Danio rerio: one gene and its partner. The protein of the gene in region 1 purifies or fractionates together with the protein of each later gene. This does not show direct contact. Links are inferred from orthologs where the notes say so. Each region holds a gene or a part of one and is shown in the gene's direction. Other genes may lie near its edges.

Region 1 (7,608 bases):
TCTGGCAGGTAAAGCCTAGGGTGCTAATCAGTTAGCCACTATTAACTCCTGCAACGCATCAGCCCTTTATAAAGCTTCATATGAGTTTTGTCTATGTTGCAGAAGATGAGCAATTATTAGCAGCGATTATTCGCGAGCGCAGCTGTGTGTGTGACGCGCGGTTGAGGCAGTTCGCGGACGGACATCAGCTGACGCGCACATACACACTCACACATATATATACATACAGTGTTAGCAGCTCTGCTAACTAGCGGAGATCATATTGCCCCTCGCTGAACACCCACCCGAGCCCAAAGCACTCCTACACGGGGTCGAGATGAGTGTCGAGACGCTCTTCTGAAATCCACAACGTTTTCTGCTCGATCACGACCTGCTCGGTCCAACTCGGGGCTGCATCCTGTCGATCATCCGCTCTCAGACGAAGACGATTGTTTAAAATACCGCGCCGAGCGCCATTTCACCTCTAACATCCCATAATCAAACCACGCCTTCGTAGGAAACAACACATGACGTCACAACACAACTTCCGCGCAGATTTTTTACTGTTGTATTCTTAATATTTCATATACACAAATGCAAATTTACAAACCAGAAACTCTTCTTTTATATTTTTCCTACTGAAATGCAACATTATTTTAAGACTAATTCTAATTCTGTGACAAAAATGACGTTAAAACAACTGAAGTTTTTAAATTGTTTATTATTATCCCAGTAGTGCTTTATGAATGTAGCTCCTTTGTATATTATTGTTTTGCTTCTAACTTTATTCTTTGTATGTACCATGACTGTAATTTTTGCATTGCGCATAATTAAAAATATATATTTTTACTGATGTTCATAATTGTTATTTTTCCTGTTTATCTAAATCGTTATCTGAATTGCACAATTTTCTTAGTTATTTAAATGAATTATTTGTACATTACAAAATGTTTACAACAACAAAAGTTTACAAATTTGGGAATTGTAAGAGAACACTCTTCAAGTGTCTTTAAAGTGTTTATATTAATAATTTTAATACATATTACAATTAATTAATTTTAGAATTTTGCGTCTAAAATTAGTTTTCTAATTAACTAATTCATTTGAATTTTCATTATTCAACTCTTCAATAAAAAAGCAAAAGAATGGATTTTTACTTGGAATATTATGATAATTATTTTAGAACTGACCCAGCCGAGGCTCAAACCAGCAACTTTCTTGCTGTAAGGCGATTTTGCTACCCACTGCGCCACATATCTATTTATATATTTTTATATATTATATTATATTATATTATATTATATTATATTATATTATATTATATTATATTATATTATATTATTGTAAATTTTCTATTACACTAAAACCTGAACCACACTGTTCCAGTTACTATGACCATTTATGTGAAGCTGCTTTGACACAATCTACATTGTAAAAGCGCTATACAAATAAAGCTGAATTGAATTGAATTGAATTCATTTATTTTTTATTATTCATTCACGTTTTATTAATCTAAGGTGGCCACAGCGGAATGAATCGCCAACTTATCCAGCATATGTTTTACGCAGCAGATGCTCTTTAGCCGCAACCCAACACTGGGAAACACCCACACACTCTTGCAGTCACACCCATACACCACGACCAATTCACCCACAGAACGTATTTGGACTGTGGGGGAAACTGGAGCACCCGAAAAAAAACCCACGCCAACACGGAGAGAACATGTAAACTCCACACAAAAAATGTCAACTGACCCAGCCAAGGCTCGAACCAGCAACCTACTTGCTGTAAGGCTATTGTGCTGTCAACTGTGCCCCCGTGACACCTTTATATTATATTATATTATATTATATTATATTATATTATATTATATTATATTATATTATATTATATTATATTATATTATATTATATTATATTATATTACATATGTGTGGCTATAGTGTATGAGTGTGAACGAGTGTGTTTAGATATTTGCCAGAACTGGGTTGCAGCTGACAGGGCATCAGCTGTGTAAAACATATGCTTGGTAAGTTGGCAGTTCATTCCGCTGTGGCAACTCCTGATGAATGAAGGGACTAAGCCGAAAAAAAATTAATGAATTAATTAATTATATTATAGAGTTACTGCAGGGAAGAGTGAAGGAGGCAGATCTTTATTGATCCTTACTATATATAAAATCTCATCAGGAGGCTGTTGAGCTCAGAGTAATAATAAAATATCTGAAACTAAAAACACGAAGATGTCTGAGAAAGATTTCTTAGAGGTTCAGTTACTAAAGGTTCAGTTTTTATGTTGTCTTTAGAATATTAACTAGGTGTAATTTATTTTATCAATTATTAATTCATCATTATTCAATTAATATTACTACTAATATTATGTCTAAACCCCCCAATGGGTGTGTTGCACCTATTTGTATTGATGAATTTTAGACATTTACAATTAAAATTAATTAAATAAAATTTTGACAAACAAATTGATATAATAAATTAATTTATGTTCACATTTATGTTCACATTAATAATAATAATAAATAAAATGTTGCACACACACACACACACACACACACACACACACACACACACACACACACACATTTGATGCACAAGATTTGATTAACAAGAATTATTTATTAAAATCCCCAGTTAAATTGTATTTTATTAACACCTACCCCATTCCTAAACTCAAGCATCAAAGTGATGGTAAAACACCACGTATTACCCATATTATTCATTAAATTACCCATTAAACTGTATTTTATTAACGTCTACCCCTATCTAACCCTAAACCCAACCAATAAAGTTATGTGAAACAGTAATTATACCAAGTATTACTCATAATATTTATTAAATTACCAATTAAATTGTATTTTATTAATGTCAACACCTACCTAACCCTAAATACAAACATCAAAGTAATGTAAAAACAATAATTATATCAAGCATTATTCATAATATTTATCAAATTACCCATTGAACTGTATTTTATTAATGCCTATCCCCCCTAACCCTAAACTCAATCAATAAAGTTATGTAAAACAGTAATTATACCATTATAATGTAAAAAACTGTCATTATACCAATTATTACTCATAATATTTATTAAATTACCCATTGAATTGTATTTTATTAATGCCCATCTCACAGTTATGTAAAATATTAATTAGTGTCACAAAAATGATGCTATCCGCAGCTGTATCCCACATAGACTTTACCGCCCTCTAGTGTGTTGTTCAGTTGTCGTCGGTTCTCTGTGTTGTGTGGCGCCCTCTGCTGGCCCGCAGGTTTCGCTGTTTAAGTGCGGAGGAAAATGGCGTCCGGCGTGAGGCAGGAGCTCGCACAGCTGATGAACTCTAGTGGCTCTCATAAAGATCTAGCTGGGAAGTATGTGGTTTCAAGTCATTTGCTAATATCGTTACTGTATGTCTTTTGCATTTGGGTGTTATTGTGTGATTTTCTATATAAAGGTCTGTGATACTGCAAATGATATGACTACAGGCTAACATTAGCAAGCGTGTGTAATACTGAGGATCTACCTGTCAACATGCCTACATCAATAACAATCATACAAGTTATAAATAGTAAAAGCTATTAGAATCATTAGCATATTTGTATGCAAATGTCTTTGTGAATTGACTAATATAATTTGAAAACGATAGGAGGAGTACGTTAATGCAAATACAGTTAGCCTACAGAATTTAAGACCCCATTAAATCAAATCGTTTGGTTCAGTAATTTTGGTTTGAGATATTGTATATCCAAACGTAGACCTAAAAGTTGACAATATAGTTGTCATTTGACAATGACATTTGAAAAAAAACCGTTTGTTTTTTAAAACCAAAATACTGATGACTCATCTTGCATTTAGGGGCGTGTCTACGTTTTTGTCCAATCAAATTTTATAGGATGAACAAGCCTTACCCTCAGCATTATTAAAATGTGTGTCTGAATATGTAGACTTTTATATTAGGCGAAAAGAAAAAGTTGAATAGACAGTAATAGTTCATTGTATTTAAAAAAAAACAGTAGGGGAGAGCAGGAATAAAAGAAACGTGGGACAAAAGTAACAAAGTGATTTTCTCGAAGCCCTGAAAACATTTGATTTACAGGCTATAACAACACATTTAGCAGCATGCAACCCTTAATGAAACTGCTAAATATACAATTTTGGGGCCGTGTCCTGCAATGAGCTCTAAATTTCTGTTTGAAAGTGCAAAATGTAAATTATTGTAGTGGTTTGTTGTATTTCTCTTTTCATGCATCACCGTAATGATCAATCTGCAGGTTCTTTAGTGCAATAACAATTCCTTGATTTTGAAATGTCTGAGTTTTGCAGTTTAAAAGGTAAATTAGGTTTACTGTAGGGATGAAAGTAACACTGTTATTTATGTCCCTCTGCACTTTTTCACTTCCATATTAGTTTTCAGTGTTTTGACTCTTGACTGTTTTATAAGATTAATGCAGATTGCCAATAATAATAATAAAATATTCAAAAATTTTAAGAAAATATAACATTTTGCATTGTTTGATTGCTTTTGAAACATTTTATGGAAGTAAAATTAAAAATTAAGGTGCAGTTTAATATTTTTTTTGCAAAAATAAAGGACAAAATATGCCTGCAGTTAACATTAACAAGGTCAAAGTCAGATACAGTGGTGGAATGAGTACTGAAAAATCAAAAGTACATATTTTTTAAATTACTTGGTAAATTACAATTTCTGAGAAAAGTTACTCACAGTAATTTGAGTATTGGTGATTTGTTACTTTACACCACTGGTCAGATATATTTAAAATAAACACGATTAAGCCGGTAAATCTAGCAAATATTGTTGTGTTACTTTTGACTCACCTGTGAGTTTTTTTTCGTTCCTGTCAAAAGTAGCTGTGCAACTTTTGTGTAAAGTGACGTTATATTGGTGTTGTTCTACATTATACAAAATAACACCTGATTTTGATTGATCACTCTTATGAGTTGGTAACCTCAGCAAAATATATATTTCCGCTAAAAACATTATCTTTTTAGAGTTAGGTTTATATGCAAAATGTTACTTTCATCCCCGCTGTCCCCTATGCAAAAAGGACCAGAATAACATGCTTTGTATGCTGAGATTCTGAGGTGTGTGTCGAATCAAAACTTTTCTGTCTCACTAGGCCACAGGAGAGGATTTGTGAATAGTAGTGGAGCGACACAAGTCACACAGCCCATATGAAATTGATCATGACTATATTATAGTAAAAGTGTATTAAGCATTTTTTTGGTACACTGATGATTAGCATTTGTATAAACAAGACTTAACCACAAATAAACACCAGGAATAGATTTAAATTGGTGTCAAAATCCATAGTTGATTTGTGGTTACTGTGGTTTGCTTAAATAATGATGATTTACATATATTCTGAAGATGAAGTTCAAGTTTAGGTCATATGACCGTGGCAACATTGTGAATGGGGATGTAGAACTGTTGATTGACAGCCACTAAGAATTCACCTTAACAAGCATTTAAAGCTGCATTTGATATATTTATCACTTTATACAGTACAATATAAATCCAGTCATCATTATCATCCAGTAATGTCAACACAAGTATAGTATAATTTTTGTAGCTATAATCTTTGTCCTCCCTGTTTTCACAGATATCGTCAAATATTAGAAAAGGCTCTACAGTTTACTGATGCAGAACAACTTGAAGCACTGAAAGCATTTGTTGAAGCGAGTAAGTATACTAGTATTCAAGTACTAATATTCTGATTATAAACATTCACTTGCCTCTTTACTAATTACACCTTGCTGTTACTGGTTAGACCCATTTTGATTTCAGAACTGCTCGTTCTCATGGCTTAGAATAGTTTTAGCAAGGATCTCATATTATTTCTCAGAATTTTTGGTCCATATTTACAGGACTGTATCACACAGATGATGCTGACTTGCTGCCTGCATGTTCATTATGTAAATCTCTGTTGAGATTTGAAGGTTTTGTTTAATTTACAATAAATGGACTGAAATGCTGAAAACGGAGATGTGGCTATCAACAATCGATCTCTGACTGGTCTTCTACTCTACTGCGTATCATTCCCTATTATATGCCTAATACGCAACTGGTGTACAACAAGAATTAATGCTGGCTAAATATGTGCATGCCCAGTGATTTTGAACTGTCACGCTCTGACACCCAGTAAAAACATCAGTCTGGGTGAGGGGGGTTTTCTCTCTAAAAAAAGCCTTAAAGTCACTTTAATCGGTTTTCTTCTTTATTCTGACGCTTTGTTTGAACTTCAGCAGATCATCTTTATTAAATCTACATTGAGTGATGTACTGCCATATGATTGGCTGATTAAATTTCTGCAAAAGCAAGCAGATGAACAGGTGCTCATAACAAAAGGGCCATTGAGTGAATATTGAAGAAAATCAGTTATAAATGAGAACGTTTAGTTTGTGTGGCTCTTTTATGGCGTTTTAGTCTCTACAATGACTTATTTCATAATTTCCCTTGTCTCTTGAATAGTGGTCAATGAGAATGTCAGCCTGGTCATATCCAGACAGCTTCTGACAGACTTCTGCGCGCACCTTCCAAATCTTCCAGACGACATAGCGAAAGTTGTGTGTCACTTCACCCTGGAGAAGATCCAGCCCAGAGTCATCTCTTTTGAAGAACAGGTGGGTTTCAGCCCTCTACAATGCAAACAAATTACTCACATGTGGAACCAAATTTGATGCTTCTGCAACTAAATAATTAAATAATGGCTATTTTTGCCACTGGTGGGAAAACTGTCTGATTTATTCTCCTCAGCCATTGAAACCTAGAATAAATTCACTGCAGGTAGATTGTCCTACGGTGGCTGAAAGACCTCAAAGATGATGAAAGTTAAGAAAACACATACAAATAGAAGAACACATACAAACTGCGAAAACATCTTCATTGGTTTGACAATACACATGATGCAAATAGTGCCAATCACAATAGAAATGTGTCTGGGATCCCAAAAAGTTATGATCCCAGATTTCTGACAACACCTGTGACTAGTCAGGATGTACTCGTCACTATTTTATTTCCATTGTGATTGGTACTATTTGCAGCATGTTTCTGTATTTGCACGTGTTGTAATAATTTGCATGCACATGTTTTGTTTATGAGGATGTTTTCTTATGGCCCGTTTCCACTGAGGGGTATGCTAAGGGACACCTTTATCAGGCTTGCGTTTCCACTGCCAAAAGGGTACCAATGGTACCTTTTTGGTATGTGTGGTGTACGACAGAAAGTTACAGTCGACGTCTCACTCTTTCAGGTGGCATCCATCAGACAGCATTTAGCCACAATCTATGAGAAGCAGGAGGACTGGAGGAACGCTGCACAGGTTCTTGTGGGGATCCCACTGGAGACGGGTCAAAAGTAAGCTTGCTTTTCTCTTGGATTAAACCAATGCAGCCAACATGTCGCCCAGTACTGCTGGTCGTGAGTTTGGATTTTCTAATCATGTTTTTCTGCTTCTACAGACAGTATAATGTGGACTACAAATTAGACACTTACCTGAAAATTGCTCGTCTGTATTTGGAGGATGACGACCCGGTTCAGGCCGAGGCCTACATCAACCGAGCGTCTTTATTGCAGAATGAATCCACCAATGAACAGTTG
Region 2 (7,146 bases), on another chromosome or scaffold:
TGGACGCGTAGTAGGAGGCGAGCTTCCCTCCTCCAGGACATCTTCACCAGGTGTTGCATGAGGAAAGCCAAGAGAATTATCAGCGACTCCAGCCACCTAAGCCATACACTTTTTTTCTCTGCTACCCTCAAGCAGACGGTTCCGCAGCATCCGGTCACGCACTAGCCGGCTGAAGGAAAGTTTCTTCTTTCAGGCTGATGAACACTTAAGACAGCCCACACAGACTTTTCCATACCCCTTACTGCACACCATCAATATGTAGTTTGCACTGCACTTTAACTAATCCATACTTGAAACAATACTGAATACAACTATGTGAACACCTATTCATTGTACATATCGGTATAACAAATTAATTTATTAATTTTTTTTTTTTTTTTTGAGGAGCATGCTGTTGAATTTAGCACTTTTGTGTATTTGCACTGTCTGTCTTTTGCACTGTAATTTTTTTTTGCACTGTCTGTTAATTGCACTATCGTTGAATTTGCACTGTATTGTGTACTGTCTGGGGCCAGCACCTTTTCACTCATCATAGCACACGTGCTGCTGATGATGTGACAATAAAAGTGATTTGATTTAATGCAAAACCTTGCATAACAAATCTGGTAGTTTCACATAAACTGAGTATTTCCAGGTGGTCTCTTATTTCTTACCATAGCTGTATATAAATCACAATCTAATTGCTTGTCTTATAAATTATTGGCATGTGACTACTTTTTTTTATAAAAATGGCACAAGCTATGTTTGAGTTGGCCATAGTTCATTGTTTCACTCTGTCATTATATTAAAGTCATCATGATACAGAAGTTAAGATGGTCCTTTTTTTCCCTTTTTACGAAAGGGTACCAAAAGGTGTTATGATCTGTGTGTTAGTCTAGCTGTAGAAATGCATCCTGTATTGTGCTAAACTGTACCGCTCTTGAAAATGGGTAATAACATTCTGACCTTGTCTTAGGATCATTAAAATGTGGGATTTGCGGAGGAACTATACTGCATACCACCAGAACCCCCTGCCTCTACAGGCCTATCCTTACCCAGGGTCCTGCACGCGCAAACTAGGTACACATCTCATAGCCCACTGTTACTAATGAGAATTCATATTATCAAATAAAAATCTTATATTGTTTTATTTATTTAATTAATATTTTTTTTTATTTATTGGAACTCTTATCTTTTTATTGTTTTTTTATTATAGAAAAGTGATTTCTATAAAATGTCATAAATTGTATCTATTTTTTGCTATGACATAGCCAGAGAAGCTGAGATGGCAATAATCTCTCTCTGTAGTATTATTGCTAATTTTCCTTTTCATGATCCTGTTTTTCTTCTGCAGGTTATTCTGGTCTTTCACTGGACTACACTGGATCTAGACTCTTCTCTAACTGCACAGATGACAATATCTACATGTTTAATATCAGTGGGCTGAAAACCACTCCAGGTACATATGAATTGTAATAAGTGTTCAGTTTGTTTGTTTTTAAGTGTAAATTGTTATTTTTTATTTTTTTAACTAATCAGTTTTTATCTGGAGTGTGGGATAGTGTTATGATGATATCATAGTTGTTTTAATGATGTGTGAGCAAACATAGAATTTCTCAAAGTCTAAAGAGTACAATATAAAAGCACTAATTTCAGCAGGTCGGAATTGATTTCTTTTTTCAAAATATGATAACTTTAATTTATTATGCACTTAAGACTGTTTTTTTTTTTTTTTTTTTTACTTCTATTGTTTCGTTGGTATAAAAAATCCCCAAAATAATTGAATTATGTAGGTGAAGCATGTTTCTGAACTAATTCTCTTTTTCACAGTCGCTGTGTTCAGTGGTCACAGTAACTCCTCATTTTACGTGAAGTCCACTGTGAGTCCAGATGACCAGTTCCTGGCTAGTGGATCCAGTGATCATAACGTTTACATATGGAAGGTCAGGAGTTCTCCATGCACTCACCCGCAAAATTCCCTCATTCTCAAATATATTTCTCAAAAATATATATATACATTTTCAAGAAGAGCTATTCAAATGATTCATTTGATTTTGTTACAAAGTAAGCTCCCCATCCCTCCAGTAACATACAGCCCCAGATCTAGATGTAAAAGTAGAAGATCAGAAGTTATGTAGCAACGGTGACACATGATTTTGTTTACTTTTGATCCAGATTTCAGATCCAAAACAAGCTCCCATGATGCTTCAGGGCCACAGCCAAGAGGTCACATCCGTGGCCTGGTGTCCTACCGATTTCACCAAGGCTAGTATCTGTAATTGCGGCAAACAAATAAATACTGGTTAAGAATTGTGCACAGCCTCTAAAGGCTTATATTAGTTTAAAACTCATAACTCTTCCTGCAGATTGCATCCTGCTCTGATGATAACACTGTTAGGATCTGGCGTCTTAACCGCAAACCAGAAGGAGAAAACTCAACAATCCAAGATGGAAACCTTGTAGGCTGGACGATTCGTAAAGTCCAGTCACCAAACAGAACACCTGGTAGAGTTCTCTTCTCTTTAAAATCTGGTTTAGTGTTTTTGTATTTTAAAGATCACATTCCTGTGTGCTGAATGTTCAGCTTCACTGCCGTAGTTTTTAGTGTCACACAATCCTTTAGCAATCATGCTTATATGTCAACTTGCTGCTTTAGTCGTTATTGCTAATGATTTACTATTGATGTTAATATTAATTTGCTGCTTGTTTGTGCTGCTTGTTTGTGAAAGGGATCTGGATTCTTTGAACAAATTTTAAAAAGGCATTTGTTTGAAATAGAGAGCTTTTATAAAATTATAAATGTATTTTGCACCAATCATCATTTTATTGGGATAGTATTAATTTCATATTTTTATTACAAAAATGTTACTATTTAATATATTTATTGACGGCAAAAAATTAAATAGTAAAAACTGATCCTAATATGAATCATTCAATGCAAATACAGTATAAATATGATTTAATTGTTTATTTAATTTGCTAAAAACATTGTTTTTCTACAGAGGTATGTATAGAGATTATTTAATTTCTATAGATCTCTACAGAGATAGTCTTCCTCAATTTAAATGAAAATTAAATACATTTCCTACAAATACAGTTGGTGAGAGTTATAGTTTTAATATATATATATATATATATATATATATATATATAGATAGATATATATATATATATATATATATATATATATATATATATATATATATATATATATGTATATATATATATATATATATATATATATATATATATATATATATATATATATATATATATATATATATATATATATATATATATGTATATGTATATATGTATATATATATATATATGTATATATGTATATATATAGATATATATATGTATATATATATATATATATATATATATATATATATATATATATATGTATATATGTATATATATAGATATATATATGTATATATATATATATATATATATATATATATATATATATATATATATATATATATATATATATAGATATATATATAGATATATAGATACTTTTAATTGATTCACAAAAGTAATTGCTTAAACTCTGAAGTTAAAAAATAGGTAGTGCTGGACGATTTGGCCTAAATTCAAATTATCGATTAATTAGACTTTATAATTTAATTATGGTTAATGAATGACAATTTTATTCATTTTATTTTTTAGGCCACATAGTTCACTGAAAAGTAAACCTGGGCTTTAATTTTCTTTTTATTTTTTTTATTTTTTTTTTTTGATTAATTTGAATTTACGTTTTGACGACGATTTAATTTTATATTAAATTGAAAAATCGAATTATTTTAATATTTTTTGTTTTTTTTTGTTTTTTTATATAAAAATATTTGATACATCATAATGGCACCAATGCGCTTTGGTTCACTTTCTGTATGAAGCAGGTCGCACACCAGAAGCGCCGCGCAGCGCCATGGATTTTAGAATTCTAAACATAAGTTTCTATAAACAAACCGGCGCCGCCCAGCCACGATTCAGGACGCAGTTCATATTTTAGCCGTGCCACAGATCGCCATCTGATTAGTTTCATGTTAAGTATCATGCAAATGTGCGCGTCTTGTGTGTGATACTTTAAACTGTCATGTGCGCGCCGTGTCGCGTCGCTTCTGGTGTGCAACCTGCTTGACTGTCTGTCTGTCTGAATTTCACTCATGGTAGTGATGGACTGGACAGCCTAATTCAACCTAAAGCATGAAGTTGTGGGCAAGCATCGCAGAGTTAGTGCAAATACAACGAATACAAGCATTTAAGTGTCTTCAGTTGTGTATTTTTCTTTTATTAATACCTTTGCATGAAACATGCTCTGGTCCACTCTCTCACGCTTCTCCAGCACTTCCTGAAGAGGGGATTTACATTCAGACTAGTGCAACAAGTGTAATCCTACATGACATCACGCTTTACTTAGTCACGTCTGTGTGGATTGCTAAGACATTCCCTCATCAAGTCGTTAAACTCAATCTCCCAACATGTATGAAGGATGTAAAAACCAGCTATGTAAAAAACTGTGCCGATCTTAGTTCAAACCGCGCTGATCTTAGTTTGGTTTGAACACGAGCAGAGGTGAGCAGCCGTAGCAGTAAAAGTGAAAGTACCCGCCCTCATGACGCCATTTAGTGGACCTAGTTGAAAACCAGACAGATCAGGCAGCATAATACAGAGAGTGGTACAAAGCGCATCAAATGATCGATATTTAAAAGGGGGGAAAAAATAGATTAAATATATTATTTTATATTAGACACACATCTGGTGCTTTTTATTTGCTCCTGCTATACGTTCACAACTTCACACATTGGGTTAAATTAGGCTTTACAGTTCAGTCCTTTACTTCCACTGTATCTTTTTAAGAAAAAGGCAGCAGCATTACAACCTGTCATTCAATCAGAAGCAAAAAGTCAAAGTCGAGCTGACAGCCAATCTTTCCTAGGCTCAACAAAACTTGCAAATAATACCTTTGTATTCCTGCAACTGCAATATTTACACATTTTTTATTTAAATCTTCTGCAACAATATTTAACTCGTGAATTTGTTTTACATTTATTTACACCTTGTTGACCAATTTATGTATGGCATGGCCATTAAAAATACAATGTTCTTTAATGGGATGGATTTTCAAGTTACTTATAAAGACAATGTTTCTTCAGTCATGTTGTTATAATGTTTTAAGTTGACTAGTTACACAATAAAAAAAAAATTGAAATCGTGAATCGGTCAAACTTTATTAAAAAAATTAAGATTTTTTGTTTTTTTTTGTTTTTGCCATATCGCTCAGCCCTACTGACAAGTTTTGTTCAGTAATTATGCTTGCATATTACCAGTGAAAGATTTTTGAGTAAAGGTTGCATTATTGATTTTAAAATAATAGAAGGCAATCTTCTTGCTGTAAGGCGACAGTGCTAATCACTGAGCCACCACACCGTCTCTGTATAATTATTTATTGAACATCAATGCTAAACGACTGAAATTAGAACACACATTGCCTAAAACCAACAGTTACTTTTTTCTTATAAAAAAGTGAAAATAACTAACTTTTAATATAGATTTTATTTTCAGTGTTTTTTCATACTAAAAGTAGAAAATTAGCAGTATCTCTTTTAAAAAAAAATAAATATTGTATATCCTGTAAATAATATTTTATGCAGTGCATTTCTTGCAACTTCTATAAACAATTTTAATATAAATTATAATTTAAATGTAATGGAAAATATGCCATTTCAAAGCATCTCTGGCGCAGCTTACAATCATAATTAATGTAGTGAAAAGTAAGACTAAAGAATAGGTCCATCGTCCTACTTAATCAGAGATTAAATGTGGTTAAAAAGTGGCCACAAAAGTATAAATAAAGGCTTAACATAGGAGGTTCACGTGACTCCACATGCGGAAGGGAAAGTAATTGAAAAAGATTGAAAAGCCTATAGATTGAAAACAGGTTCTGAATGTTGATTATTTCGATGAGTTTTTGTTTAATTGCCCAGCTCTAAACAGGTATTATGAATATATGTTTGAAAGTCACACTTAATTTTAAATTAAACAAATATAAACAGTACTTTACTATGTATGACATTATTTCTCCTTAAATTAAGGACTATAATTTGTTTTTTACGAGGCCTCTAATCCTTCTAGCTTTATATCATTGATAAAGAAAATAGAAAAAAGACATTAAGCATTTTAGCACTCCTTTTGAACAAGTAAAAGTTGCATTAGTAAACAAAAAAATCTTTCTACAAAAAAACTGAGCCTAACACAGGTGAGTGGGCTTGACAAACCACCTGTAGAGAACACTTTCATCTCTGACACCTGCACCAGTTTTGCACAAGACTCTTTCAATCTCTTAATAATAAAATAAAAACAGTGTGCAGAAACGCTTATAAAAAAACTCTCCCTTACTTACTCAAGCACTTAATCTCTGAGTGCTAATCATTCCTTTGTATAATTAGCACTTGTGTGTATTTTCTCTTGTTATATCGCAGGATGTTTCTTCAATTGTAAGCTAAATGTAAAATCTTAATCACCAACTTGACTGAATCCTAAAACAATTTATAAACACACAATCACCAATATTCTCTTATTTCTTGTTAAATTGGTGTTAATGAGTCCTTTGTTTCCCCAGGCCATCACAGCCCAGTTGAGCTCACTCCATCCAAAAATCCTGGATCGGTGAGGTCTGTTTCGCTGGCTTCACCCCAGCCTGCCACCTGTGCCCCTACAGGTGCCGCTTTACCCCTCCCATCAAACACCTCTTCTGCACCTCCAGCCAAGCTCACCAGCCCCAAAATGCCATCATCCCTTCAACAATGGATCAGCCGCAGCAGCAAATCTCCTGTTCGAAAAGCCCTCACACCTGTTCTCCAGGGTCTGTCCTTCGAACACCGTGTCAAACGCCGACTGGAGACGGGCGATTCTGCCAGCTCTGGTTTGGGAGAGGAGATCGACGGTGTGTCTGAACTTTATCCCAATGTCAAGAGGAGTAGGAGTTCAGTAAGCACACTCAAGAAAGAGGACTCGTTTGGTTTGGAAAGTGAGAAGAGGCTAGGCTCGGATGGTGCAGAGGCCTCTGGGAAGGAGAACAGCTCTCCCAGGAGGACTGATTGGCTTTCTGTGATCAGCCAGAAGTTTAAAGGGTCGGCTCAGCCTAAGAGCCCC

The links.
Region 2: the proteins of cops4 (region 1) and dtl purify together in Homo sapiens (affinity purification with mass spectrometry; 3 studies listed by BioGRID). This does not show direct contact. The link is inferred for Danio rerio from reciprocal best matches to the Homo sapiens genes COPS4 and DTL.

The regions. Positions count from the first base shown.
Region 1 is NC_133185.1:12,011,156-12,018,763, forward strand, and holds the start of cops4 (COP9 signalosome complex subunit 4), read left to right. Parts: upstream 1-3,219; 5' UTR 3,220-3,287; coding exon 3,288-3,361; exon of another isoform or gene 3,362-5,338; intron 5,339-5,581; exon of another isoform or gene 5,582-5,611; coding exon 5,612-5,691; intron 5,692-6,480; coding exon 6,481-6,632; intron 6,633-7,261; coding exon 7,262-7,365; intron 7,366-7,469; coding exon 7,470-7,608. UniProt on the Homo sapiens protein: Component of the COP9 signalosome complex (CSN), a complex involved in various cellular and developmental processes.
Region 2 is NC_133195.1:14,399,811-14,406,956, forward strand, and holds part of dtl (denticleless protein homolog), read left to right. Parts: intron 1-955; coding exon 956-1,059; intron 1,060-1,333; coding exon 1,334-1,438; intron 1,439-1,809; coding exon 1,810-1,922; intron 1,923-2,154; coding exon 2,155-2,244; intron 2,245-2,345; coding exon 2,346-2,484; exon of another isoform or gene 2,485-2,516; intron 2,517-6,473; exon of another isoform or gene 6,474-6,613; coding exon 6,614-7,146. UniProt on the Homo sapiens protein: Substrate-specific adapter of a DCX (DDB1-CUL4-X-box) E3 ubiquitin-protein ligase complex required for cell cycle control, DNA damage response and translesion DNA synthesis.